Oreochromis niloticus: one gene and its partners. The protein of the gene in region 3 purifies or fractionates together with the protein of the main gene of each other region. This does not show direct contact. Links are inferred from orthologs where the notes say so. Each region holds a gene or a part of one and is shown on either strand. Other genes may lie near its edges.

Region 1 (7,918 bases), on a different chromosome or scaffold from region 3:
ATCAGACAGTATCTATAGTACCATAGATAAAACCAGGAAATAAATAAATTGTAATACTACAGTAGCACATTAAAAAGACACATTTCATGTTACAGGTTTAGTTTCCACCGTTACTGAGTAAGTACTTGAAAGGGGGAGATGTTTCAGTGCATACGCAGCACAACAGTGCGCATGCATGGACTGCCACACACGTGCCATGGACGTGGCCCATGTGTCCTTGAGGTTTACCTATGCCAGAATGTTACAATACATCTCACAGGTTTCATTTCATTGTAATGAAGTCATTCCACAATGTGTTTGTCCATTAACTCACAAGATAACGACTGTTTCACATGTTAAAAATGTTGCGTTAAAGTATTCGCCACTTGGTTTAGAGTAGCTCAGGCCTCCTTCAAGCAGACAAAATCTCAAGTAAATCTTCAGCGCGAGTCCGAAACAAGTGACATTAAATTACGTTTCCCCTGTGAGGTGAATAAAAGAGTTCAGCAGCTAAACTGTAAAAGTGGACTTCTCCACGTAGATACACAAACAGTCCCTGCACATTCCTTTCCCCCTGTTGTTTGTCCAGTTTGAAAAAACAAAAAAAACAAAAAAACCTTCTGTTTTCTCGGTGAGTCGAAGTAGATTGCAGACAGTTCTCTGTGTGCTTATGGAAATAAGGTTACTGTGTTTGGAAGAAATGTGACCACTTACCCTCCAAAACCTTAAAACGTTACAATAGGGGGGGAATCAGCAGTCTGTCTGCACTTGACAGGAGCTTGTATGATTTCACGGTGGCACAGGCTGATCTGCATCTAGCCGTCCAGAGGTTTTCCCAGGTACACCATGGTGACTTCAGTGTTGCCGTATACTGCAGACACAGCAGGGAACAGGCAGGTTTTGGGCAGTCCACGGAAAGCCACTCCGAGAAACTCAAAACCTCTCTCAAAGGCTAACGTCTTGTCATCCATGTCTAGAATCACTCGTATTCTCTCCCCGATCTGTGGACAGGCACAGTCACATCAGGACTTATAATCATGTTTTCACTTGTACTCTTTACACAATTTCCTTTTAAAATGTCATTTCAAATCTCGACTCCTACCTGATATTTAGGTGCATTGTTACACTGGGGGAAATTACCGTTGACCTCTCCGTTGTGAAGCAGGTTATTGTCAACCAGGTTCCAGCCCCAGCTCTGGTCATCGCTGCCCAAGAGGGCTACGTAGCCCTGGCACTGCATCTGCGCCCGCTTCGTAGCGATACCTATCACTGCCACGGTGCCCAGGGGGCCCTCCCACCAGATTTCCCAGGCATGTCGCCCCTCCGAAAAGCCGATTTTGCCCCGTGCGCCGTCTGTGCTCTGGGCAATAGGGTTGCGGTGCAGAGTGAAGCCGTTCTTCTTCACATAAACGTTGCGGGAGCAGTCGTGGGAGCTCAAAGCATGCTGAAAGGCCTTGAGCTGCACAGGAAGACAGTTACAGTTAACAAAATCACAGACACTTGCTGGGAAATCTAAATATTAGTAAGGGGAAAAAAAGTTCTGTGAAGCATATATACAGAAGAAGAACATGCTTCTCTACTTTCTATCTTGCAGGACGCTCACTGCACCATTCAGAGGTGTAGAGCTCAAATGTTTTTCATAAGAATGCAGATAGTGTTTAGTGTTTCTAAAAACACTTTGGAACAAATGAATGAGCGTCCTTAGACTGACATTGGACACAGACAAGTTGTTCTCATTCAAACCTTACTTTCATGCCATCAACACTCCTATAAACAGTCTCCATACACAGACTGCTTAAAACAGGTTTTGTTCTATTATGCAACAATAGGCTGGAGAGTCAACTCAATATGGACTCCAGTGATAAGCCCAATGGCAACAAAACATCTACTCTACACCTGCTCAGTGTGATCACCAACTGAAAGACAATACTACAACAAGCAGGATTCAGTTTTATGCCCATTTATGTCTTATATTTCACTGAATACGTTAAAAAGCACTGGATTACGCTGACATTCAGTAATGTTTATGGCTACACTGTCACTTTGTGTAAAGGCATCACCAAACAGGTAACCCCAGGACAGAGGGACGTGTACTGGTAAACCTACTTTGCCCTTGTAGGTGGGCAGGTTACAAAGGATGTCAGACCGCAGAGCCTCGTCGCTCAGAGTCCGGCTGCAGAGGCTGCGCCACACCTCGCTGTTTTCATCCGCCAGGATATTGTTCCAGTGCCAGCAGACCAGCGAACACCGCATCAGGTCAGTCAGCTCCAGGTAGGAGAAAACATGCTCCAAGACCCTCGCTGGTAGCCTCCCCGCCACCCCTGCGCCTCCTCCGGCTGCAGCCGCATATGGAGAGCCGGTGGAGCTGCAACTGGCTGCCGCTGCTGCGCCCAAGCAGGAGGAGCCTCCTCCCCCACCCGCCGCTCCAGACATTATGCCCCTGCTCTTCACCGACGACGCCAGCTGAGCGAGTAGTTTCACCGTACACCGCAGGACGGTTCCTAATATGAGCTCGGCAGCAACATTTTTTCAACCTGTAAAAACCCACACGTAGGTCGCGCTAAAACCACAACAGTATACGGACCCGACTCTTCCCACTTCAATGGCTGAATGGAAACGATGCGTCAAGGTCCTCAAAGGGCACGAAGCACTAATTGTCCTGTTGTCACAGAAACGCAAAAATTATTTCGGAAGAAACAGTGGTCAGTTTAAGACGTGAGCAAAGTCTCCCGAGTCCGGAGACGACGAGCTGTTTGATGAGGCGACGCTCGAGCTCGAGTCAAATAAATTTTACCGCCTGCAAGGACCGCAGAGCCGACATAATGAGTTCAAGGAGGGTTGCTACACAGTACTGTTGCAGTGTTGCGATACTGGACGTTCCACCGCTGCAACGTCAAAAGTGTTGTGATTGTGTCGCAAAAAAATACGAACCGTATTAAAAGACGATGCAGTTGTTTACCAATAAAAGGCGTTATCTGACCTGTTACGTCATGTTGGTTGGATTTGATAATTATTTTCAGATCGTGTTTGACGGAAAACTAATAATAATAATTTAAAAAGAACTACTGGTGTTTTAATTGTTTAACATGAGATTTACACGTTGTTGAAGAAAACAAAACCGGCGTCTTACATAAAGTATAGTATATTATATATATATATTTTTTAATTTGTATACCACGTGACACCACGGAAGTGACGCGGGGTGCTCAAAAGAGTTAAGCAAAGCATCTGGGAGCAAAACAGCAGTTAGCTTTATTTCATTTTAACCCACAAGACCGGAGGAGGTGACTAACTGACGGTCAGAGCAGCTAACAGTAAGTTGTTGTGGGTTTTTGTTATCGGGACAGAAAGATGTGCGTGTTATCTGGTAACGGGACAGGCTGCACCGCAGGACACAGCTGTCTGGCTGCCTGCCTCCTGTGCTATGCGGCCTGCTTGACGAGCTGTCCCCCATCTGTCTGCTGTCCGGGGACACTCCGGCGGCTTTGCGCGGTCAGACAGGTGATTAGCGGATCAGCGTGTAAAGCAGCGCTCACCTACGGCGACAAACAGGCTAGGCTAACTGCAGGTGGTGGAGATCGTGAAGCTTGTGAGCTAAGCTAGCTGGTGGTAACAAAGCCCCGCTGCGTTCACCTTTCCAAATTCTTCTACTTCAGGTTGCCATCTTAATTTTTGCAGGCGACGTATCGAACGTCATGTTTTGAGAGGGCACATGTAACTGCCGAGCCGTCTGTGCTTGGACGGTGAAATCAGCCCTTAAGACTTACCGATGAGCAGCACGTATTTAGATTTTAGTCTAAGAAAACCTCCAGGAAAAAAAAACAAAACAACAAAAAAATCCAAACAGAAACGCATAGCTTCACACCTCTCTCGCCCCTGTCGTCCACTGTGTTTGGGTGAAAGAGTATATTTAAAGTAACACAAATAAAGCCGAATTGCTAAATTATGTTGTTCCTCTCTCTCTCTTTGAAAATGAGAAGTTTTGATTAATTTCAGTTTCCTATAAAGAGTCAGCCTATCAAATAAACTGGAGTTAAATGTGGATTCACTTGTAGCGTGACTGTGCTTATTAGCAACCCGTGTAAGTGTAATTGTGAATTTATATTTACCAGAGTCCATTCATGAGCACGTTGTAACGAGGTGGAAGGGTTTTATGTGTTTTTGTTTTTCATGCTCACGTTTTTTAGCTACCGCTAGGTGGAAGCACAGATGCATTAAACTCAACCCAGCCACCGTCATGGGAAGCAAAAGTCAAGGTTTCTTCGGGAAATTCGCTAAGAAAGCTGTAAAATGTAATAACAATAATGATGCATTTTGTTTCAGACGCCTTTCAAAACACTCAAGGTCACCTTACACACGGTTTAAAGAGATGTTCTGATGCGAGAGAGAGTTAGGGATATGGATATTTGCTGGGAGGGAATTCTAGAGGCCAAGAGCACAGCCAACTCATGATCTAGACCCCATGGTAGGAGGAAGAGGAGGAGATAGCATCATGTTAATGTGGAGTAACATCTCTGAGGAATGTTTATAGCACCTTGTTAAATTTAAGGTTTGCCCCGAACAACAGAATGGCATCAAAAATGCAAAATCAAAGGTCTAGCTGAGTGTATTAATTTTCCAAAAATGTCTTTCACAAACTGCTCACGAACATTGTGTAGAGACTATTTGCGCTCGTCTCTCTTTCTGCTTTAGACAGTGCTGAGAGCATTGGGAACCATGTTGACACCATTTTTAAAAATAGTGCAAGCACCTTCTCTGTGTTATGTTTAATATCAAACAGAATATATAGTAATGCCAATACAACTGTAATAGGTGCATGTCAGCACACAGTATCAGAAAATGCTTATTAGTCTGGTCTTCGCTTTGTTGTTACCGTGACCTTGCAAGGTCATCTCATGCAGACCGCTGTCAGTCTTCACTGAGGGAGAACGGTTATTATTTGTGGTCCCTTTTAGCTGTGTCGTTAGGTAACAGTGGTAGTTTGGCACATGTGATGAAATATAAATGTAATGAAATGTGACGAAGCTACAGTAACAGCAGTCTAATAAATGGACAGTATGTCAAAGTCTAAGCTCCAAAGAACACACACCAAACCAGTTTACATGCTTAAGATTTCTGAAAGCCAAACTGAAGGTTTTGTTTAAACCTTCTGAGGAATCTTTTCACAATCACTGTGCTGTTTCTGGAACAACAGGGTCACAATCGACAACAACAGAAAACTTCATATTAGCATGTCCATCCTTTCCACAAGAGCTCTGCTGGCTCACAGATCAGCAGTTGATTTCCACGCATGATGTTTGCATCGTTCCAACCTGTTTGTGCTTCTCTTATTTACAGCATCTGCAATTAGACAGCCACAATGAACCCAGTATACAGCCCTGCACCAACAGGGGTCCCCTTTACCAACACTAAGGGTATAGGTTATCCAGGTAACCTGAAGCATAGTGGTTTAAGAAACAAGCATAATTACAAGAAAATATCTCCCAGCATTGAGAATACTGTTATATTCTTGTTTTGTTTCTGGTTTTGGCAGCTGGATTTCCTCTAGGATACGCAGCAGCTGCTCCAGTGTACACTCCCAACGTCTACGCAGGAGCAAACCCAGGCTTCCCTAATGGTGAGAAGAAAGTAACGCTGAAATCTGCTGGAGTTTATCTGATAGGTCTTGAAACACATCTTCCTGATGCACTTCAAAAGAGTCAAACGGTTACAGCGGACTTCTTTTATTTGAATTAATTATAAATATAACGTAATAAAGAATAAAAGTTCCAAAGAGACTCTTAATAGCCCCAAAAAGTGTGTGTGCTTCTTTTCTATGAGGGTCCTGTTTTACTGAGCTGCACAGCCAGTGTTTCTACGCAGACTTCAGCTATTTTGTCCCAAAGCAAACGGCACTAATGTGAGCCGTCTTCCTCCCTCTCCAGGCTATGCTCCAAGCGCTCCTTTCAAAGTGTCCTGCTCTCCCAGCACAGGGACCGTCCCACCATACTCCTCCTCCCCAAACCCCTACCCAACTGCTGTGTACCCTGTCAGGAGCACCTACCCCCAACAGAACCCTTATGCACAGGTCAGTCCTCGCTTTTAATAACACGCCGTCTCTCTTCATCCTGGTTCAATGCTTGAGCTGTAACGTGTGGTTGTTTGTCCACCAGGCACTAATACCTTCACAACAACAAGGCCCTTACTACACACAGGCTCTGTATGCTCCACCGCCTCATGTCATCCATCACACGACAGTGGTCCAGCCCAATGGGATGCCTGCAGCAATGTATGCTCCGCCTATCCCTCCTCGCAACAATGGTGTTGCCATGGGCATGGTAGCCGGCACCACTATGGCCATGTCAGCTGGTGAGCTGCAGCGGTTTATTGATTCTTATCCAGGATACAAATGTGTTCGATTTGTAGTTATACCTGTGGCTTTCACTTCTCAGGAACTTTGTTGACAACTCCATCGCCAGCGCCCGTCGCTCCCCACCCAGTCACGATGCCCACATATCGGCCTCCTGGCACACCCAGCTACAGCTACGTGCCCCCGCAGTGGTGAAGAGAGAGAAGCGTGAGTATGTTTTAAAAGGATCACAAGTTTGGTCAAAGGTGCAGATTAAAGGTTTATGTTTACACCCGGTGTTCTCTCTGCAGGTCCGGAAGATGGTAGATATGCATTCACACTCCAGTGTTTTTCTCTCGTGGTGACGACCTGCCCCGCCCTGGCAGCGTCCGCTACCAATTCTTCTTCTTCCAGCATAATGTGAATCTAAAACCCAACTACATAGAGTCCCATTTGGATAAGCAGGGGGTGACAAATAGGCCCATCCCCACAACCCCTATTAATGGAATAAGGCTGCATTCCATACCCCCACGCCCCCACCCCCTCAGCGCCAGCACCTCTACAAACCTGCTGCATATCTCACGTCAAACTGCAAAGCCTCCATGCAAACTCTATGTGGACTCTCATGCAGGTTTTTATAGCTTAAATTCTTATGTAGTGAAAAGGGAGTTTGGAATAGTTTTTTTTTTCCTTTAATTTGGGGGATTAAATATGATGTTGAATGCATGTGTATATATAGATTTACAAAGTAATGCTAGCTCAATTCTCCCTGCTGTGACAGATGCAAATTCAATAAAAGGCACAAATCCAAAGGAACTTAGAAAAAAAGAGTAATAATCTGCAATGCTGAATCACCAGTGACTATGTCTTAAATGTGAAAGAAAAAAAAGACAAGAAACGTTTATTCATGCAAAAACATACCTGCGCCGTCCATCGCGGGCCAAACTGTACTATTTTTCACCGCTTTGTGTTTAGGTAAGTGGTTTTTATCGTTTTCTTTCAGTGATGCAGTGTTTGCATAATGTCTTACCATTTTTGTATTGTAGGAACAAAAGATGGGACTTTGAGTTTGTGCCTCTGTGACTGGTGGCCAATCCAACACTTTTACTTTTTCTGGCCTGTTAAACTTACTTTTTTTTTCATTTAAACAAATGGTGTTTCAGTTTCTTTCTCCCCCCCCCCCCAAAAGTCTGAAGCTGCTCCTGCTTGGGTGATATATGATGTATTCACTTATTTTAGCCAGAAGTGTTCTTGGTGGGGAACAAGTATAGGAAGTTATTAGAAGTCAATTGCACCCATTTAATAAGAGTGGATGAGCAGGAAGTGTGTGTGTGTGTCTGTGTGCGCGTGTGTGTGTGAAAACGGGACTCGAACGGAAACCATTCTGAATGGTGCCATACAGTGCAACATGCTTAGAATTTTAGACTTACATGTCACTCTAATGAATTTACTCTTAGGCAGATTTGAAGCACTACATCATTAAATCACCGCTAAATGTGGACATGTTAGGGCACCGTAATGATATTAAACTCCATTTGTGAATAGCACTACTGAATGAAGGCACTAATTCCAAACGGTTTGTAAAAGATATTTGACCTTTTCCGACATCGC
Region 2 (7,283 bases), on a different chromosome or scaffold from region 3:
TTATTTTGGCTTTGAGGACTTGATATGCCTTTTGAACATTGCCATTCTTACAGTACTGTGAGTTGAAGTTTCTAAGCCAGCTTACTAGAACAATTGGGGAAATTTTCTCCCTGCTCACAAAGTTGCTCAGTTCAAGAATCAAGCCGTTTGTGACTTCGATCGATTTTGCCCGATCTGAAAAATCCCTCATTTCCAAAAGATCTTGCCGCTCGACTCCAATGCTATCACATATTGGTCCAACAAAATTAAAATTGACATCTGATTCCAGGAAGACCAGCCTTGCATCATATCCAAGACTCAGTGTTGTGGCAATGCCTCTTTCAATCAAACGGCGAAAATCTGCTGACTGATGTGCGGGGAAGATCCTCTTGAGCCAATCCACAATGGCGATCCACGGAAAATTATTGTCCTCTCTCAGAAGTCCTACTTGGATCATAAGTCTGTTCTTGCAGGGGCCCTTTTCAAGCTCTAATTCTTCTCCTGATTGAGGACCAATGAAGTCTGCAACGAGCTTCCAGTAGTACTCATCTCCTGAAAAATAGAAATCAAAGTAATTACAAACGTAATCCTTTACGAAGAGGTAAGCCTTTTTAAATGAACTGGTATTAGGCACAGTCACTATGTGAAGGTTTATCAGCAAAAGTGACAAGTAAGTAGCTGTTTACTTGCAATGCATTCAGACTTACTTAGATTGGCTTCAGTCACAGCTGCTTTCCCACAAAGAGAAAAATCTTGACCCTCCTCCATTGTGTGCTGTTTTAAAAGAGACAGAGATGAAATTCTTCAGTCCTCAGCCTACAGAAGACAAAAACTGGATGGATAATGTGTGACAAATCAGCATGATTAAGATCTGACAGACCAAACAAAACAACAGTGGGCGGGAACTTTTCAGTGCTTTTACAATGACAAATTTGTCCTAAATTTGTATGAAGATGAACGGGTGAAACTAAACAGTTAAAGCTGTAGCTATTATTTCAAAATGTTATGATCTTAATAATAATTTTTGCTGTTTTTCTTGCACATTTTTTATCTTCCCCTACTAAAACTCATAAAGAGTAATAGTACTAATACATCACAGTGAGAAAAAGTGCATCATGGCACAAACAACAAGTAACAACCATTTCCTTATCGCGTCATGTCATTTTATTTTATTATTTTATTTTCATAAAATGTTTTGGATCCTGACCACTTCTAATTTCTCTGAAAAAAATCACATTAGGGTTAAAAATTTCAGGTCCCTACTGTCATTAGTTTTCATCTTTTCAGAGGGAATTTGAAATTTCACTATCTGGAAAACTACTTGAGCACGGTCCATTAAACAATTAGGGTACTATGGCTCAACACCACTACCTTCATCCATTAAAATACTTTTTTCAGAAAACAATTTTTTCAGAAGGGACCTGAAATTTGACATAACTCTCATAAAGATGAAAATATTTGGCCTGAGTTTTTTCAGACAAATGTGAGACTTTGCTTTAAACATCTGCAAAGAAACAACACTGACACTCTGTATTCCCTAAAAAAGAAAACAAGTTGTTTATATTTTATTCTCATTATAATAAAATTTCATGTTACTAAATTGAATCTTTTCAGTTAATCAATCAGACTAATTACTAACAATCTGACTTTCAAACAAAACACATTAAATTTTTTGTTTTTACAAAATTACATTTTCACACAGAGAAACAGTTTACTTTTCACTTGTAAGAGTTGCATATATCAGCAACTACATTTCTAATATGTCTGTATTTTGTCAAGCATATGCACAGTTCATGTGTTCATCTGTGATTCAATCCCCCACCCTCCCATCTCTTTGTATGTTGTCTCAGCCAGACTTTCCTGTAATTTTTAAAGTGGTTTTCAACACTACCAGGCTTTCTGAAGCTCTCTCAAAGTGTTTCTTTGGACACTGGGAGCGTTTTCATCCATTTCTGTACCACTTTCAGAGTATTTTTGTTTGTGGAGTTTTTAAGCCATTTAGCTTAATTATTGAATTATTTGAGTATAAAAACAAACCTAAGTCAAGTGATGACAGCATTGTGTTTATACACATCAGACTACTTATTAGCAGCCTGTCACAAAACACATTATGTGTTGTCATTTAGTTTTAGTTTGTTTGAGCTTATGAAAAATGCCAATGATAGGACAGTCTGATAGATATATAATAGTATTTTTGAATGAACAAGGTGATTCCCAAAGACCTGTTGTCCAAACATATATGCTGAGATATAGTAAATGTCAGCATGGTGTGCGGTGTGTCTTTAATAAATCTGAGGAAGCTGGATCTTGTCAAAATGATAGAATGCACACAGATTTTTACCACAATGCAATACAATTTGGAAAGCATCTGATTTACTACAACTTCATTTTTCAGCATGACAATGATCCCAATGATCCCTGTCAATGTAGTAAAAGCACACCTGGATAGAAAAGCACACAACTGAACACTATCAATCACAGGCTGACCTCAACATCGCTGAAGCAGTGTGGGATGATATTGGCAGAGAACGGAACAAAGAGCAAGCAACTTCCAAAGAAAAGCTTTGAATGCCCTTCAAGAAGCTTGGAGAAGATTTCTTAAAGAAATGACAATAAAGCATGTCTAAAACAATCAAGGCTGCATTGAAGAATATAGATGGTCCTATCAAACATTGACTTTCAAACTTGTTAGAATTGTAGAAACTCAGTTTTTACCTTGTATATTACATTTCCACATATGTTTACATATGTTACAGTGATTTGTTGTATCCATTACCCATTTTTCTATATATAGCTGGTACTAGTAAAAAAATGTAATGTTACAAAAGTGTGTGACATATATTCTAACTAGTCAAACTTCCAAAAAGACATATTCATAGTTTAATTTTTAGTTCTCAAATAACATTTAATGATCTACAGTAAACACTGTTTTCAGGAGCAACTTAAGTGATCATCATAATTATTTTTAACTGATTAAAACTGAATTAAAGAGAACTACAACTAGTCTAAAGTAGGTAACAAACATGTAAATTATAAAACAAAAATATTAAATCTAAATGCCTGCAATGGTGTTTGAATAGAAGTCAGTTATAAGTTTTTGAATAGCTATTAAACTTATGCAAAGACAAACTTATTAATAACATGTTGACAAATTTTTTAAAAAAGATCTCTGGGTATCTAATTATAGATGTTACTTATCAAAGTGAATTTCTAAAAAGTTGGTCTGTAATTATAACTAGTCAAAAAATAGATGAATAAATAAAATTACGATATCTATGGCTGTGAAATACTACAGGGGTGCATGTCATAGCAGATCAAAAGTACAAAACAACAACTAAACATTCTGCAGAAATAATATATTTAAGTACACTTGTATGACAAAAATGTACATCACATACTAATTTATCTTGTGAGAGGGGCTAAGCTATGTAAAGAATCCTGATTGGATACTATGTGTGTTTTATTATCAGTAAACATGCATAATTAATTCCTAACATGTATAAATACATCGAAATATGTGACTATTCCTGTGATTTAATGGCATTATAAGCAGGTTTTTCAGAAAAAAAAGGATTGTAGCTACATCTCTAAGTGAATGCTAATGCTGGACTAAATCTACATGCTAATGCTAGCCTTCTGAGCAACATGCTACTATTAGCACCTACTTTACTAGCACAAAACTAAACATGCAAAAGTGCAATAATCCGTGATTAATACCTGAGCAGAAAAGATGTGCTGGGTTCTGTAGCGTTCCCAAATAATTTGAAGTGTATGCGCTGTAAATTTATGATTTAGTAGTACAAGTTCTTACCCAGAAACAAAAACACCAGGCGCCTGGGACACGCTCCCTCTCAGAATACACCATGAAGGGGTGGAGACCGTGCGCTGCAACGATTGGCTGGTTTTACAGAAGGCGGGCATTTGTCGAGGTCTCAACGAATCATTGCTGCGAAACGGCCGTGAAGCCCCACAGAAGAAGAAACTGGGAACGACAGATTTTCAACTTTAACTGTGTTGTTGGTTAACGTGTTATCCTATAGGATGTTAGTTTTTATCGAAAAGACTGCACTTTTATATATTTATTGTTAAATTGCGTGTTTCTATGCAAATGAATGATTTTCATTTTTTTCATTTTTTCATAATGAGTAGGTGGATTTTTTAAATGCTCTCAGTTTTGTGAGAAATGCAACTCTAAAAGTAAATAAATGATTTAAAGTTTTTAAAAATATATATATATTTATATTTAGTCTGCGTGGAATTGCAGCTGAATGTATTATAACGACGGTAATATTTTGTTACTTGAAGACATCTAATAAAGTTTTTTGTTAAAAAAAAAAAAACCAACAATGCGAAGTGCATTATGGGTCCACTTACTGCAGTTGTCTTCGTGATCTAGCGGCAGGTAATGTAAAACACCAATTTATAAATGTATTGTTTTAAAAAGCATTTCTGTTAATAACATTTGTTTAATTATCGACAGGCTCTGATAATGTTTACTGCCGCCGTCGCAACGATTTCCATGCCGTATTTTGTCATATTATGCTCCAGGGCGATTTGTGGGAAGTAGCTCAGTTAACTGGTGCCAGGTAGCGTTAGCTAACTCTCTAAACAATGGCCAGGTAGGTAAGAGCTTAGTAATAATAAAATGTTAATATATTGCGTTTGTAAAGTATTTGATCGTCATTTCTCGTACTTCACATAAAGTCGTTGGTAGAGCCGTCTTCTGTTTGCAAACAATGAACATGCGCGCGCAGCTTTGAAATGGAAAACGGCTTGTTAGCAAACGTGGACAACAAATTTTTGTTAATATGGCTCATATCTTTACATAAAGGGAATCAACAAAACTACAAATGCATTCAGTAAAATCCACAACAGCCTCTTTCAGGATGCAGTTGCTGTACTCCACATTGAAACCCCAAACAATAGAAAACAGGGACAAATTAAATAAATTACAGTTCTGCAGCGAAATATTGGATCCTTGGCTTCATGTGGCTGTAACAACTCGGCATTGTTATAGATGTGGTCATGCAGAAGTCTCCGTGGACTGTGATATTTGCAGAGGACAATGTGAGATGTAGTGAAGGTAGGGTAGGTAGGTAGAAGGTGTAAGTGAGTTTGGAGAGGTGGAGGTATGCTCTTAAGAGAAGAAAAATGAAAGTCAGTAGAAGCGAGACATATCCACGTTTGTGAATGAGATGGAGACTGGTGTGATAGAGAAGCTGCAAGGCATAGAGTTAGTGATAGTTTAAATACCTGGGGTCAATCATCCGAAGGACAGTGCACAAGAGAGATGAAGAAGATGGAGTGGGTGGAGACGGGGTAATTTGTGACAGAAGCACAGCAGCAAGACTTAAATGGAAGGTTTACAAGATGGTAGTGAGACCTGCTAGGATTTATGGTTTGAAGATATTGGAGCTGAAGGTGTTAGAGTTGAAGATTTTCTTTGGAAGGGACTAGGATGGATATCAGAGGGACAGTCATTTGGAGAACACGTTTGATAGGCAAAGCTAAAAATGGTTTGGGCATGTGCAGCGGAGGGATAGTGAATATATTTTACAAGGGATGCTGAATATGGAAATGCCAGACAGGAGGAAGACTGCAGAGGAGATCGATGGATGTAGTGAAGGAGGACATACAGAAGGGTGGGTGTGACGGACGATGGTAGGGAGAGGGTGAGATGGAGGCAGATGGAAGCAGGTAAAGAAGGTGACTAACAAAAATAGCAACTTTCTAGATGTTTGGTCATACCACAGTAGATTTTTGTATTTATATGTTATCCCAGCTCTAACTATCATATATTGGCTTTGAATATTTCAGCTGGTGTAGAATTAATTAAAAAATCAGAAAAAAAAGCCTCTTAATGTTCACTCTTCACAATACCACGTTTTGACTTACGGGCCTGTATAACAAACTTTCACTGGCCTCTACAATATTTTTAATGACCCAAAAAAGCCAATTTAATTGTTTTCAATACTGGAAGCTCTGTCTTTAATAATGTAGTATAAAATAATAGTAGACTTATATTTTATAAAGTTACATCTCCCAAATAAATGGTAGCTAAAGCTGTAAAATAATTGTCATGTATAACATTATCTACCCCTCTTTCCCTGCAGGAACCACACCTGTTAGCCTTCGGCTATAAAATCTGCCTTTTTTAATGATCATTTCAAACTGAATAAACAGACTGCATACAGACAGCTCTGCTTTATTTAGTCACGCTTTGCAAATACTACCTGCATGAAAAAATACTAATTTGTGGGTTCATTTTGGCCAGTGAATTGATACATGGAAACTGGCCCCAGTGGGCCACTAGTTATTTTGAACCCTGCAACTGTAATTTACTTACCCTTTGTAATCAAAATACATCAAATGTCTTGGTTTAAAAACAGATGTCTGTAGTCTGTCTAAATAAAGTTTGCAGATGGAGCAGTATGTCACAAAAATGTATCCTCTGCAGAGGAAAACGACACATTTTCACACCAAATCTCTTTCCCAATCTACTGACATTCCCAAGCTCTTCAAGAAAGACTTTTATCAACACACCTGTTCAACTCTGAGCATGCCAACTGTGTAGTTATTCTAACTTTTACTTTAGTGAGATTACCTATTGTGAATAGTTACAAATGTTCTATATAAGGAACAATTTTCCCTTTTAATTTCTGTGTATAAAAACTCCTCATTACTTATTTGCAGATAAAGACGTGGTGCAGGATGTTTTGCATCTGTACAACTGAGTGTGAATTTTGTGCCTAAATATTGGGAGTTATGAATAATCAATTCTTAAGTAATCTGTATATTTATGTGCAGTCTACAATATGCAAATAGGAATGTCAATTTAAAGTCATGTTGCTACATCCTCGTTTACTTTATCTAACCATAATTTAGACGTGACTTTTACAGTTTTGTTTTTATGACCACTTTGCTCACTTTGCTATGTGCATTTTATTTTATCCCCAGTGGAGATCAGATTACTCTCACAGACTTATCTTGATCTGCTTCTCATTCCAGACATTACCACCTATGAGGCTACCATGCTGATATTTAGTTTTCCTGGATTTAATCTCACTGTAAATTCAAGATAGCAGCAACTATGGATGCATCTGAAGCAGAAGCCTCAACACAGAATCAGGGAAAAGAGGAAGGTGCATCATCAGGTCAAGGAGATGCTGGAGCAAAACCAAAAAAGGCATCTTTGAAAAGAGCTGCAGATGCGAAAGCAAAAAAGAAGCACAAAAAGGCTCGAGTGTCCAGACCTGCCCGGCCTGGTTATACTGTCCATCAAGGGGAAGATATGCTTCTCGTTA
Region 3 (7,279 bases):
CTTCTTGATGTGAATATGCTGTTGTTTTTTTGTTTGTTTGTTTGTCCTCATATAAAACAGTGTTATGGTTTGAATTACACTGTCCTTGCATTGTCCTGGGATTAAATTTCAATTTACATTGATGCCAAAATTTACCACAATTTAGCATTTTTCCCAGCGATGAATTTCAAGTATGAACCCGGTTATTTTATTTTTTTTTAATCTCTTTTATGTCTTAGGAATACTAGTTAGAAGTATTTTACTTATGATGTCAAGAACTTTATCCCATATTTGGTGAATTATTTTTGTTATAGCAATTTAAGTGATGATGCAAAGCCAATAATAAAATCTGGCAGATGCCTCTCGGCCAGATATCACTGTTTTATAGAAGGTGATAGCATGTGGCTAAGACTTCCTATGGCTGTGCTTGTCTCAGCAGAGCTGAAACAGTCTGTTAGAGAAGGTGGTCAAGATCCTCCATGATGGTTTGCTCTCCACCAGTGCTTCAAAAGTGTCCAGTTTGCTGCTAATCACAGAGCTAGCCTTGCCAGGCAGTTAATTTACTCAGTTGGTATCTCTTCTCTAAAGCTGCTGCTCCCCCAGTCGACCACAGTACAGTGAACGGCAGTCACTACATCTCAGTGATAGAAAATCTTCATTATTTTGCTGCATGCATTGAATTTTGAGGAAACCAAGCTTGACCACTCCACAAATTATGAGGTGAAATCTCAAAGAACATTAATAACCCCAAAGATAAGTGATCTTTTATGAACAAGGATGCTTATAGAACTGATACATTACAATTTATAAAATTTTGATTGTATCTGACTCTTTTTTTTTTTTTAAATTAAAGTTTTTAGCTGTCATAACACCCACTGTGCATTTTTTGTGTGTGTCCTACTGCAGCTAAAGTGCTGTGATGACTTACTATTTTGAAATTAAGTGGCATCAATTCAAGGATGACTTTCAATGAGCACTTGAACGCACCATGGAAACCGCTTGAGAGGATCCGTAATAGGGGAAAAGCGCCATCCAATGGTAGCTCCAAATACTACAATAAACGCTGCTGTTTGATAAACAACACATGCAGGGGTATAATTTTGGAAATTACTGTATGAAACAAGGCTTATTTAATATAATCTAGCCCAAGTGAATCTTGCATTCATATTTAAGATAGCATTTAGAATATATAACAGAATTTATGGTATTGCCCAGATTTATAAACAATTCCTTAAAGTCATTCAAATGATTAAAGAAATGATGAGGCATAGTTTTAGCTTGAAAAGCTGAGAAATTCCTTTGTGTTTAACCCAGTTATTATAACAAACTATAAACAATATAGCTGAACTGATTAGAATAGTATATAGCTCCATACATCCATCAAGCCATTCTTTTCTGCTTATCCAGCAACGGACAGTGAAGAAAAGAGTACACAGGGGGGAGCAGGTGGTTACATGATTTGGGAACGGTGACCCTAAAAAAGAGAGGAGGCCTAGCTGGAGGTGGCAGAGCTGAAGATGTTCAAATTTTTATTTGGGAGTGAGCAGGATGGACAGAATTAGAAATTGGTACATCACAGGGACAGTTTAGGTTGAGCAGTTTGGAGATAAAGTTAGAGAGGCGAAGCCGAGATTGTTTGGACATGTGCAGAGAAGACAGAGTTGATATACAGGACAAAGAATGATGAATAGGGAGCTCCCAGGCAGCAGCAGAAGAGCAAGACCACAGACAAGGAAGAAAAACAGAGGGTTTTTCTGACAGGACAGGATACTGGGGTGATGATGGAGATGATGCTCAGCAGATTGTTAAAGGGAACAACCAGAAGAAAAAGATTTTAATTACACAGCAATGTTAAACATCTCAAATGTTTGAGACTTTGCTAGATTGTCTTAGTAAAAAAACAGTCTTGCAAAGGTAGGACAGCATTAAAGTGGGCCAATGTACACTTTAACCCCCACCCAGCGTGGAGAGGCATCCAAGCCCTCTCCAACTACATGGCCAGAGCCCTCCAACCCTCAACAGCAGCCTCAAACTTGCAGAGGAACTCAACACCTTCTTTACTCAGTTTGAGACCACCAGTTGTCTTGCTGGTGGTCAGACAACAATCTGAAGCTGAGAGTCCTTAAAACAAAAGAACTCATAATGGACTTCAAGAGGCACAGACAAGTCCATTGCCCTCTCATTATAAATGGAGAACGGGTTGAATCTGTCTTCATCTTCAGGTTTCTGGGCACCCACATCTCTGCTGATCTCACCTACAGCCACAACACTGACATCCTGGAAAAGAAGGCCCAGCAGCGGCTGCACTTCCTCCTTTAGTTACACCCTTTTTATACACGCTCTTTATTACTCTGTAATATTCTTGTCAATCTTCTTAATATTTATTTATAATCACCTCTATTAATCCTTGATATTTATAATTGAGGGATCTGTATATATTAGTGCTATTTCTTAAATGTGTAAAATCTGTAACATAATGTATTGTTTGGAGTTTAGTCTGTTACTGTTACTATTTTTACCATTTCTTCTTGGAGCAACTGTAACCCACATCATTTCCTTAGGGATTATAAAGTATTCTGATTCTGATTGTTTCAGGATGACCTGCCATTATCCAATGACACATCTGCTTACCTGTATCTTTTGCTCGTTTCTCCTCCTCTTCTTTTCTCTTTTTTCTAAACTGAGCATGGCTTTGAACTTTTCTTGTCCATCTTCCATTGGTTTTAATCTTGCACTCCAGTATAAACACCCATCCCCGAACCCGAGGATCACCACAAGATAACCTAACAAACCTACACCTTAGTTCACAGAGTCACTTTGTCTAGGGTTTATTTCTGGGATTTCGCACAACCCAGGATTCAAATCATGAATACATAATGGGCTTGGATTTACAACATGATGAATGACATGTGTGCTATTTGGAAGCAGCCGGCCCCCTCCCCTTTCGACAGGTTGTGTGTGAGACTTCAAATCTTAAAACTGTAAATTATAAATTGTTATTGATCCCTTTACCCCGAGTCCTAAAGTGTATATTTATTTTCTTGCTCTTCTTATATTTATTGTTTGTTTACTTGCACTGCTGTAACTGGAGCCTCGTCGTCTCGTCTCTCTATATACTGGACTGTATGTAGCGGAGATGACAATAAAGTTTACTTTGACTTCAGCAGCAAGCAGGCGCACAGAGGGCTCTCGCGCTCACTTTTCGCGTATAGAATTTCGAAAAAACATCGGTGCAAATTATGTCTGGTGTTTTCGTGTTTGTTGGTTTGTTCTTATTTTGTTTTATTTTGCAAGTTGGTTATTAGATGCTGCTCCAGCCAGCCAGAGACTCCCCCGCCGCCCCGCCCTCTCCTCCCTGTGCCGCAAGCAGCAGGCGCACCTCGCAAACGGAGGGCGCCCTTACTCCCCGCAAATGGGCGAGGGAAAACTGATCGGTGCCTATGACATTCACAAAATGCGCTGGCATGACGTCGGTGGCAGCATGAGTACAGCAATTTTGTATTTATTTTTTTTGCCGATGCCCGTGATGCCGCCCCCCACCACGATGCCGCCCCGGGCAACCGCCCGTGTCGCCCGTATCAAAAACCGCTACTGTCAGCCAGGATAACCTGGAACAGAAGCTACTGCTGGCTTTCTACTGCTCCTCAGTGGAGAGCGTGCTCTCCTACTGCCTGGGTAGGCAGAGGCCACAACTGAGAACATGAAGGCTGCCCAGAGGGTAATTAACACCACCCAAAATATAATTGGCTGCCCTCTGCCACCCCTGGGGACCATCACTAGCTCCTCCTGTCTAAGGAAAACCAAGACAGGTGACCCCTTGCACCCCGCTCACCACCTGTTTGACCTGCTGCTCTCTGGTCGTTGCCTCAGATCAATGGAGGCCACACCTCCAGACTCCCAAACAGCTTCTTCCCCTGGGTCATTCGGACTGTCAACAAACACTATCTCTCTAATGTGTGAGTTTTGTATATTGTTTTGTATACATTCCCTCTTGGCTGTATATATTTCTCCTGTTTGCTTTTTATTCTTGCTGTCCGCCACAGTTGGTGTGGAGCACCCACGATTTCGTTGTACACGTACAATGACACGTGTGGTGGCTATCCTGTTCTATGCTAATATACGGGAAAAAAGTGTGCAAACCTAACATGCCTATCACATTATACATATATCTTGGAATAATTTAAGAGACTTCGGATATTTCAGAATACCAAAGGCAGAATGACCCTGAGATTATCAGTCAAAGAAGGGTGGATAATTTGAGCCCATACTTAACCCCTCCCCTACGAGAAAAAGACGCCGGAAGGTAGGCTCAGGCTTCTTCTTAGGTTGGTCCAGAGACTACCACCGGTTGTCTGTGTCTGCGTGTTTGTCGGGTGCTGCTGCTGCTGACTACAGAGGAAATTGACCTCTGGATTATCGTTAAAACAGTCACGGTACGTAGCTTAGTTAGCCCAGGTTGAGTTTTGCAGCTTGGAATGAACTGCTCTTTGTTTAATTTTGCTTGTGTCTTTATTTGAATAGCCTCGCTGTGGCGGCTAAGAGGCCTCAACTAATGTCGACACTAGGTGTTAGCTTAGCTAGAACATTGTGCATGGTAACGCTAGCTTCCTGGTTAGCCTAAATATTAACCGATAACATTAAAATATTATGGTTGAACAAAAAACAGAGAAGCCAGCTTTTATGTGTTTTAAGTAATAACACGCATCACCTTCAGTTGTATATAAACTGTATTCAAATAAAAGGTTGCTGCTCGACTAGCATTGCCGCTGTTTAGCCCGTGTCGTCGGTAGCTAATCGTTGGTTAGCTTGAGGTAAGCTTTAACGTTTGTTTTGAGTTAATTTTTCTAATACTAAGGTCCGCACAGGTAATTTTATTTATTTATGTAGTGGGATATTATTCCCGTATTCGGCTAATAATCATATAAACTGTCTTTCTTGCGATAGCTGACAAATTAACTCCCAGACGTAGAATAGCAGTTGCTAATGCGTGTTTACTACTAAGGGTCGTAAGTTTGTTTTCAGAAGTGTTGTCTCCTTGCAGAGGCGTTTAATATCTTAATGTGTTGCCTTTATAGATAATGCCCACAATAAAACTACAGAGTTCTGATGGGGAAATCTTCGAGGTGGACGTTGAGATAGCCAAACAGTCTGTCACCATTAAGACCATGCTTGAAGGTAAGTGTTGAATCGCGTTAAACGTTTAGGTTTTCAATTCACAACTGACCTAAATGGGAAACCCCACAGTTCACAAATATATTGTTTATACTTCACTTAATTAAACCATAATTTGGACAAATGTGTAATGTTTGAATCTTTGACAGACTTGGGAATGGATGATGAAGGAGATGATGATCCAGTTCCCCTTCCTAACGTGAATGCTGCCATCCTCAAGAAGGTACAAAATGCACATATTGCAGTGTCCAGTGGGTTTTTTGTTCACACACAGACTGTGTGGGTGGTGTTTGTTGGATGTGGGAGGGGTTGATTCCTTGTTTCCTGAGATGCTATTAACTAATTGCGTTCATCTCGCCTGGTCTGGAGAAGGGTTATGGTTTAGATCCATGGTTCCCAAATGGTGTATGTTGTGAGGCAAATGCCCTGGAGTTTTCTTACAACCTTTGTTTATTATAATATGAACAAGTGAGGAATGAGCTGCTTATTTACTTTATCAGCAGACCTACTTGGTACACACTCATTTCCCATACATAGGCAAATTATATTTACAAAAGTGTAAGGTGGAACCCAGCCTGTTGTGTGGCCTGACACAAAGCCTGACAAGAAGGAAGATGACAATTTGAGATGGGGAGTGAATGACTTTCTTTGGTAAAGTAAGTAAACACTGGTCCACAGATTTAAAATGAATAAATGTCCGAAGACAGCAGTATTAAAGCTAACTCTCGTGGCTTCAGGTGGTCCGGGTTGGCAGAAATTGTTTGGCCATATAATCATTTGCTAATCGAAAAAAGAATTTGGAAGAAGAGGCCATAGAATCTGTGTGCCTTGAATTTTTTGGCTTTGCTCGTGGTTGTAGTTGGGAGGCAAATATAAATCAAAGCCTGTGATGGTGTCCTCGACGATGATGTAGACTTCTGTATATGGTGAGAGGGTCTAAGCAGAGATCGTAAGAAGTGGCAAAGAGTGGTACTTTGTGTCCTATGGGTAAGCTCGCCTAAGAATTTGAATTGGGTTTGGTTGTCTTCCCCTTATAGTTTTAACATTTTAGCACTGCCAGGCTAAAGCTGAAATAATAAGCTGAAATGATCTTCTATGCCAGTCAATCAAAATGCATCTTAGAAGCACATTGTAATAATCTAGGAAACTTGTGTTATAGCTGGACAGTGTAACAGTGTTATAGCTGGAAAGAGCTGCTGATGTATTTTCTGAGGGTAATGTGCTCAGATGTGGTTCAGAGTTTCAACAAAATCTGAACATCAAAGTTTTGAAGGTGGACCTGGAAAAATGGACAAAATGCGATTGTTTCTCATCCTGTTTTAGCTTTTATTTTCATGCCAGCAAATCATCTAATCACATTTTTGGCAACAGACAAGTCCTGATTTTTTTTTTTTTTTTTCTTTCTCCTTACTACTCATTTCTACACTTCCTTACAAGGAGGTAACGACCTGGAATCTGTGTGACTTGATCCTAATTTGTGGCAAATAATTGCCATTTAATTTTGGTATTCAAACCTTTTATGGGCAGTTTTAACACAGCTGATGGGTGCTGTGCATAACGGGTTACCTTGGTTAAAACCATGTGTTTATTTGTTATTTTCTTTTTCTTTTTCAGGTCATTCAGTGGTGCACTCATCACAAAGATGACCCTCCTCCTCCTGAGGACGATGAGAACAAGGAGAAAAGGACAGATGACATCCCTGTATGGGATCAGGAGTTCCTCAAAGTGGACCAAGGCACCTTGTTTGAACTCATTCTGGTAAACATACTTGCATTATTTTGCATTTTCTTTGGATTGAATTACAACTAACAGGTGTAAGCAAAACCCTGCCCTATACCTAACCTTAACAGCAACACCTGCACATGGTTGATTATCATATCATTACATATGGATCTTACTGAGTTATCTATATTTGTATTGAAGCAGTTTTAATAGAAAAAGGACTTTTTTAAAACAAAAGAAAACAAAAATAGTGGTTAACAGATGCTCGGTTAAACTGCAGGCCTGTCAGTGGTGTCCCTGCAGTTAGCTACAGTGAAGTATCCCTTCCTTTCTTTGCAGTGACTGTCACATAATCCCACTGATGTGTCTGTCACTTAATCCTCCTCCTCCGAGCTCTGAGCTGCTG
Region 4 (7,010 bases), on a different chromosome or scaffold from region 3:
ATTTAGTCCCCACTTCTCCCAAGCTGCTTTCTATCCCGCACAGAATTATGGCTGCCCTGCACTTTCCTGCAGTGCTGTTGAAAGCCCTTTATATCCTGGCACCCAAAATAGATTGGCAAAGATCAAGCAGCAGTGTATATGCCAAAGTTGATTCTTTCAAACACTGATGCAGTCAATGTAAGCATAGTGGTCACAATGCAGCCAATTACCTTGTTTCAAACAGACGATCTACACCTCTTTTGATAGTAATGTTTGGAAGATCACCAACATAAACATAGCGAAAAGCAGAAAGGACCAATTTCTTTATAGGACCGGTTACAAACATAAGAGGGAAGGGCAGGTTTATCGGCAAATAGGATGACATTTACTTTCACATCAGTGTTGTTTTGGCTAAATGAACCAACAGGATTAAGAGGCAATAGATTTGTTCTTGTTACAAAAATATTGGAAAATTTACATTTTAACATTTTAAGCCATTTTATCACTTCAGTTTAATTTTAATTTGGTCAGACATAAGTTAAAATCAAATAACTGCAAGTGACAATAACATGTATATGAATATCTTAAGAAATTAGTTAACACAATTATTTTTACTGTTTTCATAATGATTGTGCTTAAAGTCAGTATCTCTATGAATGATGATGACGACCTTTAAATAGTCCAACAGTACAACGACACAATACACCAACAGCCATTACATTATAAACAAATATGAACGTTATCTGGGTGATGTGCAGTCTTCAAATAATAGTCAAACAGGTTCCATTAACCCAGAATTTCATAATTAGTGCATCCCTACAATTAACACTTAGCAAAGTGCAATTATTTATTGATAACAATTCTTGTTGTAGGCCATTTTCTCAACATTTTTAAATGTCCGAATTAGCCAACTCAATACTGATGGGAACATATCCCCTGCATAAGTGTCGCACATGCACCAGTTCAACCACAAGGGTTTCATACAGCCGAACATGGCACAGGCGTACCTGCGAGGTGAAGCGCATATTACCTTTGATGTACCCACTTCCTGTGTATCAGCTGAGAGTTCAGGTTTATGGGCTCATGTGCAGCTACTTAGTGCCCTTAGAAAGAAACAACAACTTGTCTGTTCTCATTATTCGGAACATACGTCAGTGCTGGTGGAGCTGGCTCAGCGCACTAAATGAAAGGGTAAAAAAACAAAAAACGGGCTTTTCATTACCCGATAGCGAGCTCTGAAGTTAGAGGTTGTAGTCCTGATCTTTTCAAAACTACCATGCACAAAAGAGACCATGGTTCTTAGATTCTCATAATGCTTCATCACCATGATGAGATCAGTGGAAGAAGTTCATCCATTTCAGTTCTGCCCACAAAGCCCACTTTCACAATTCTACATCTGGATGAACCTAAATTTGTCACATTTTAAAAGTCTGTTTGAATAAACAGGTGTCCGGAAGTGGCTTACTACAGATAGATCATTATTGGTGTCTATATGTTGCCTGATACACACTGATAGTCAGTGAAAGTGTTGTGTAGGAAGTGGGAGAACATCCTTCCTCTGCTGCTGAAGCTTATACAAACAACAGCCTGTTACTGAACTGAAACGTTATAGTTAAAAGACAGCATTGGCACCAAATGCAACTTTCTGGATCTAGCTAGTAGAGCTGTATACCAGCAGGGAAGTAGGAAAAGGGTTAAAGTTGTCCTTAAACTTAAACAACTTTAAAACAAACAAAATAATGTCAAATATTTCAACCCCTTTAGTAGGATTAAGATAAAGCAACCAGTTTTGAATGCCAGCATCACAAAACACTGTAAAGAAGGCGGGAGAAGGTGGAAAAAGGTGTGACACAGCTGCACCAATGAAATCTGAAGCGTTAACAGAGCCAAGTTTTTACAGAGTAGGAGAAATTATCCTGTGTGTGTGTGTGTGTGAGAGAATATAAGTGATCACATCCTACAAACGGACAACAGGCTAAATACATCCACACACTGTATATTTGTGTGTGTGTGTGTTTATGTCAGTGCTGATATCAGCAAGTCACAGCCAACAAAGCCTTCTAGCCTCCACCAGTGCTGCATTGTACCTGCTGCTATGGAGAGACCATAATGAGAAGTGTAAAATAGGACAGGTGACAAAAGGCATGCAGATGCCTCGCACATGCACCACCATTTAATTTATGCATGCAAAGCTGTCCTTAATAAACCAACAGTGCCTCCATATACATAACGCTTGCTGCCACTGCAAAGACCTGGCATGATTACGTAACTCCTAATGCCAGGGTTTGTTTATAGCTAACTGAGCTAGCCAGTTGCTAGCCACTGCGACGCACCTAAACCCGAGAAATTTAAAAAACAAAATAAAACAGGGCGAACATGTCAAGCGAATTTTTCACTCCAATTAAAAATATCAAAGCAGACATTTCCAGAGGTTATTTTCTAGTATTACCTATTGTTTCGGATGCTGGTGAACACACATAACACCTGGTCCAAGTAGGTGGCCACGGCGTCCCTCCATCGCTCCTTGTGCTGCGCGTCGCTATCGGGACCCGGAGGCTGGTCCATCCTGGCGGACGACGGGTCGCTGTTCAGATGGCTAAGGTTTCCTTCCACCGGTGCGAGCTCCAGCTGCAACTCTCGCACAAAAGAGCCAAACTTTCGCATAAGGAACTCAAGCTTTGGGGTTTCGTCGGAGCTGGAGCATCCACCGCCACCTATTCGCAGTTTGAGCTCGGTCCACAGCGCGGGGTAGAACAGACACTCCCTCCAGCGAGAGCACACAGCCGAGGCCCGGAGCTTGTCTCGGTCGGACAGAAAGGAGAATATGTGGACAATAAGCTCGCTGGGCAAAGCCATGGCTCCGACACCCCCGCACAGAGCCATGGCGAGCTAAAAACGGCAAAAGCTGCTGTCGAAAAACCAACCAGACGTAAACGAAATGCCACAACCGTTTATTAAAGCGACGAGGTAGCAGCTGCGAATATAAGCGACGCTTCTTCCTCTCGGTGAAAACAAACCGTTTTCAGCGTTGCCTTCAATACTACTGGAACGTACCACTCCACCGAACTACACGGGGACCGAAACAATCCCCACAAACCTTATCAAAACATCCATCGCGGTATTCCTTTTTTTACTTCCTAACACTAATATTTTATTCCACCATGCTGATCAGTTGGTGGTATTTTCATCAGATTTGGGGTAACACTTGACCGCATCGATACCTTGTCACTTGAATGGTTTCAACCGAAGGTTGCTATTTTTGCCATACTGTCGCACTCCGTGAGAGGGCAGTATTTCGCGCCTGGAAAAACCCCGAGCCTCCACATGATCTTTATTTTGGAGTAAGTTTCCAGCACGACACACCCCCTCTAGTTGATGCAAAAAACAACAAAACAAAACATTACAAAGACAAAAACAAGTATAAAAATAATTTACACACTACGCAGTCTCACAAAAGTAACATTTTGCATATTTTTAACAAATGAATTGCATCCAATATGAAAATTCTGGAAGCAAAAACTGAATGGTAATGGAAGTTTAATTTTTTTAATGTCATTATAGAAGACGAATTTTTTTTAATAATTGTTAATATACTGCTGTTATATTGTACGTAAACTCTAAATAAAAAAAGATTAAATGTGTTTAGACATACTATCTGGATAACTTACCATTTTTTCCAATTTGTCTGTGAAGGTTCTCGGTCATCCAGGTCATCATAGTCTAAGGAGCTTGGAAAGAAAAGCGTCTGGACTTCTTTAAGTTTCCTTGAAGACGTTTCACCTCTCATCCGAGAAATCTTTTCAGTCCTAAGAGCAATTGGAGTCCCAGATTTTTTTCCTATTAATTTTCTTTTGCCTTTGCTTCCTTTAATTTGGTTATTTTGTGTTCAGTTTCCGGATATGCCCGGATATTGGGTAAGGTAGTTATTTGCAGTCATTTGATAAGTTAGAACTTCTTTGTGCCTGTCTATTTTACCTTTGATGGAATTTCATAATCATAAGGAATGATTGTTTAACTTTAACATAGTGACACCAGTGTGACAGTCCTAACAATTTGATCAAACTCCCCAGATTAGAGTTTGCCGCATGGCTGCTGCACTGAAATGTAATTTTCAACTACAGGGCTGTGAAAAACTACTAGCCCTATTCCCAATTGCTTAGTTTTTTGAATGATTGTCACATTTAATGTTTCAGTTCATCTAATAAATATGAAAATAAGACTTACCTGAGTAAATACAAAAAGCAACTAAATGTATTTTTTCATTGATTAAGGAATAAAACCTGCAGTCATTAGCATGTTGTAACTGTCGACATGAAATTTGTTGACTATATTTTTTGGAAAGCTGAGTTCAATTTCACTCGCCACACCCAGGCCTGGTTAATTGACAGACATGTTGAATCATGAACTCACATAAACAGAACCTGTCTGACAAAATGAAGTTGGCTAAAAGGTCAAAAAAGCAACTCATCATGCCACGATCTAAAGAAACTTAAGAACAGATGAGAAACAAAGTAAATGACATCTATTAGTTAGGAAAGACTTACAAAGCCATTTTTAAGGCTTTGGGTCTCCAGCGAACTACAACGAGCGCTTAGAGCTTCCCAGGAGTGGCTTTTCCCAGGAGTACCAAAATTACTGCAGGACTGCAGTTGAACGCTTTGAAAGGTTTAAGTACTGTTATTTCTGGAACTAACAAAAGATTTCATAAAAAACCCACAATACCAACAGTCAAACATGTTGGTGGTAGCGTGATGGTCTGGAGCTGCTTTGCTGCTTTAGACCCTGGACGACTTGCTGTAGTTGATGGAATCATGATTTCTGCTGCCTACCAGAAAACCCTGAAGGAGAATGTCGGGTATGAACTTAAAATAATCAAAAAACCCTTTAGTTACAGTTACTTTTTCCACACAGGGCCAGGTAGAATGAGATAAAATTTTGGACATAGAGAGCCCAACAATACTGTTTGATCTGAAACAAAGTGTGGCAAATATAGATATAAATATACAAACAGCAGCTAAAATAAGTATTGAACATATGAGACATGACAGTGAAAAGTATTGAACATGCTTAGTCACACACATTTCACAGGTGTGATTTTGGCCCATTCTTCCACACCAATAGACTTCAAATCCTGAAGGTTCTGTGGGGCCCCTTCTTTGAACTCTGACCTTTAGTTCTTTCCATAGATTTTCAATTGGATTCAGGTCAGGTGATTGGCTAGGCCATAGCCTCTTTATTTTCTTTCTCTGAAACCATTTGGTTTTTCCTTGGCTGTGCGTTTGGGATCATTGTTTTGCTGAAACGTCCACACTGCTTTCATCTGCATCATCCTGGTAGATGGAAGCAGATTTTGATCAAGAATGTCTTGGTACATTTTTCCATCCGTCCTTCCTTCTATTATATGACAACCCAGCACCATGATGTTGCCATGGTGTTTTTGGGCTTTAAAATCTCCGATGTGATTGCAATTTTTGAGGGTTCAGTGAGCAGCATGGTCATTCAGGTTCTTTTATCAACAGGATATACAACAGCCAGGTGACTCAGCACAGCACCACTGAGCCGAATCCTCCTTAAGACTTTAAATCACAATACTGCCACTTTGTTGTCCTCTGGTCTTTAGTCACAATCTCTGATTTCCTGACAGGGGATTATTGGAGAAGATGACGTGTGAAGAGAAAAAAAAAAGAAAAGGTCTTAGCAGTGAAACAACAGAAGGGCGATCTGTTCTTTTTAACAGTTCTCTGTTTCATCTCAAATAACTTACAGTACATATAGAAATTGGCATCAATGTAATCTTCAGTAATTTTATCAGAAGTAGGAAGGCTATAATTTTTAAGGGGGTATTTACTTTATGTATCCCCATAAATTCATACAAATTTCAGGAGAAAATAACAACAACTGAAAGATTATCTTGTAAAAACCCCAGAGACAAGAAAAATGCACACAGGAAACCACCTTAAAGCACTCCACTTTCACTCTGTACTATCCAATACTCATACAGCGCTCCCAAAAATTCCACTTTCACAAAGCTTATCCAAAGTATGGGTGACATTTTGGAAAAATTTAACCTAATGAAGTTTAGGATATCATGGCCACTCACTGGAACCTTGTAGAGTGTCATGGCCAATCTACTGTGTTGAATTTCATTAGATTATATGGGTGTAGTGTGATTGGTCAGCGACTACGAATCTAAAACTAGCGAACTACAAGGGCTGAAGAAGTCAAAAAATCCAGTAATCACCAGAAAGTTGAAGAATAACTCTTCAGTATGTGAATATAATGTTGGCGAGTTAAAGTAAGGTAGCTTTACGTGATTTTGTCAGCTGCGGTGAGCGCAATCTTTACTTGAAAAGCATTTTCACTTAGGTTCACCTCTGTTGAACCCCTCTGGGATGTTTAAGGCCTTCAAAAAGCCAATTAATTTGAGTAATTAGCAATAAGAATAAAAATAAAAATAAAAGAAGCATCTCAATCAGTGCTCAGGGGCTGATTACAAATCCAAAAGATTTTTTACACCACTTAAAAACAAAAGTAAGGTTTTGAATAGTTTCCATCCATGAGGGATTTGACTAGAATTAAAAGTGTGAAGAAATCCTCCAATATGTGTCATTAATATTCATTTAAATGTCCATAATTTAGCATGAAATTGAGACAGTATAATGATCTAGTGGCATTAGCTCCACACAGTGGAGAGTTGCAGTAATGACTAGAAAGTTCACTGACTCAGAAATAAACACACATTGAAGACACTTTTGCTCAGGGACTCCATGCTGTCCTCAGTCCATTCGTGGACTTCTCTTGGTCTGTATGCCGCCTGCAGAAGTGAAACCTTTGCCCTGCCAGCAGGATCTCCTGCAGTGAAACCTGCAGGATCTGCACAGCAGCCTAGAGCTGATGTACAAACTTCAATAAAAAATCTTGGAGGAGACACATCTTTCCAAACCTCTGCAGGCTCCTACCCGCTGCTGGAGGAGGGAGAGCAATTTGACCTGACCGTGGACACTCAGCGCATTTCTCCATAGGAGCTGTCT

The links.
Region 1: the proteins of skp1 (region 3) and fbxo45 purify together in Homo sapiens (affinity purification with western blotting; 7 studies listed by BioGRID and IntAct, with this or other methods). This does not show direct contact. The link is inferred for Oreochromis niloticus from reciprocal best matches to the Homo sapiens genes SKP1 and FBXO45.
Region 2: the proteins of skp1 (region 3) and fbxl6 purify together in Homo sapiens (affinity purification with mass spectrometry; 6 studies listed by BioGRID and IntAct, with this or other methods). This does not show direct contact. The link is inferred for Oreochromis niloticus from reciprocal best matches to the Homo sapiens genes SKP1 and FBXL6.
Region 4: the proteins of skp1 (region 3) and fbxo33 purify together in Homo sapiens (affinity purification with mass spectrometry; 5 studies listed by BioGRID and IntAct, with this or other methods). This does not show direct contact. The link is inferred for Oreochromis niloticus from reciprocal best matches to the Homo sapiens genes SKP1 and FBXO33.

Annotation. Positions count from the first base shown.
Region 1 is NC_031974.2:26,336,725-26,344,642, forward strand, and holds the start of fbxo45 (F-box/SPRY domain-containing protein 1), read right to left. Parts: upstream 3,014-7,918; 5' UTR 2,413-3,013; coding exon 2,086-2,412; intron 1,439-2,085; coding exon 1,082-1,438; intron 981-1,081; coding exon 795-980; 3' UTR 1-794. Other genes in the region: fam168b (myelin-associated neurite-outgrowth inhibitor), read left to right, coding at 5,339-5,408, 5,513-5,596, 5,904-6,046, 6,132-6,327, 6,411-6,523. UniProt on the Homo sapiens protein: Component of E3 ubiquitin ligase complex consisting of FBXO45, MYCBP2 and SKP1. Functions in substrate recognition but also plays an important role in assembly of the complex.
Region 2 is NC_031985.2:12,377,759-12,385,041, reverse strand, and holds the start of fbxl6 (F-box/LRR-repeat protein 6), read left to right. Parts: upstream 1-4,278; 5' UTR 4,279-4,381; intron 4,382-4,459; 5' UTR 4,460-4,598; intron 4,599-6,987; 5' UTR 6,988-7,069; coding exon 7,070-7,283. Other genes in the region: uncharacterized protein LOC100711840, read right to left, coding at 1-531, 687-753, 3,791-3,844.
Region 3 is NC_031975.2:22,837,655-22,844,933, reverse strand, and holds the start of skp1 (S-phase kinase-associated protein 1), read left to right. Parts: upstream 1-4,256; 5' UTR 4,257-4,412; intron 4,413-5,054; 5' UTR 5,055-5,057; coding exon 5,058-5,154; intron 5,155-5,300; coding exon 5,301-5,374; intron 5,375-6,765; coding exon 6,766-6,909; intron 6,910-7,279. UniProt on the Homo sapiens protein: Essential component of the SCF (SKP1-CUL1-F-box protein) ubiquitin ligase complex, which mediates the ubiquitination of proteins involved in cell cycle progression, signal transduction and transcription.
Region 4 is NC_031983.2:25,187,393-25,194,402, forward strand, and holds the start of fbxo33 (F-box only protein 33), read right to left. Parts: upstream 3,006-7,010; 5' UTR 2,863-3,005; coding exon 2,429-2,862; intron 1-2,428. UniProt on the Homo sapiens protein: Substrate recognition component of a SCF (SKP1-CUL1-F-box protein) E3 ubiquitin-protein ligase complex which mediates the ubiquitination and subsequent proteasomal degradation of target proteins. Probably recognizes and binds to phosphorylated target proteins.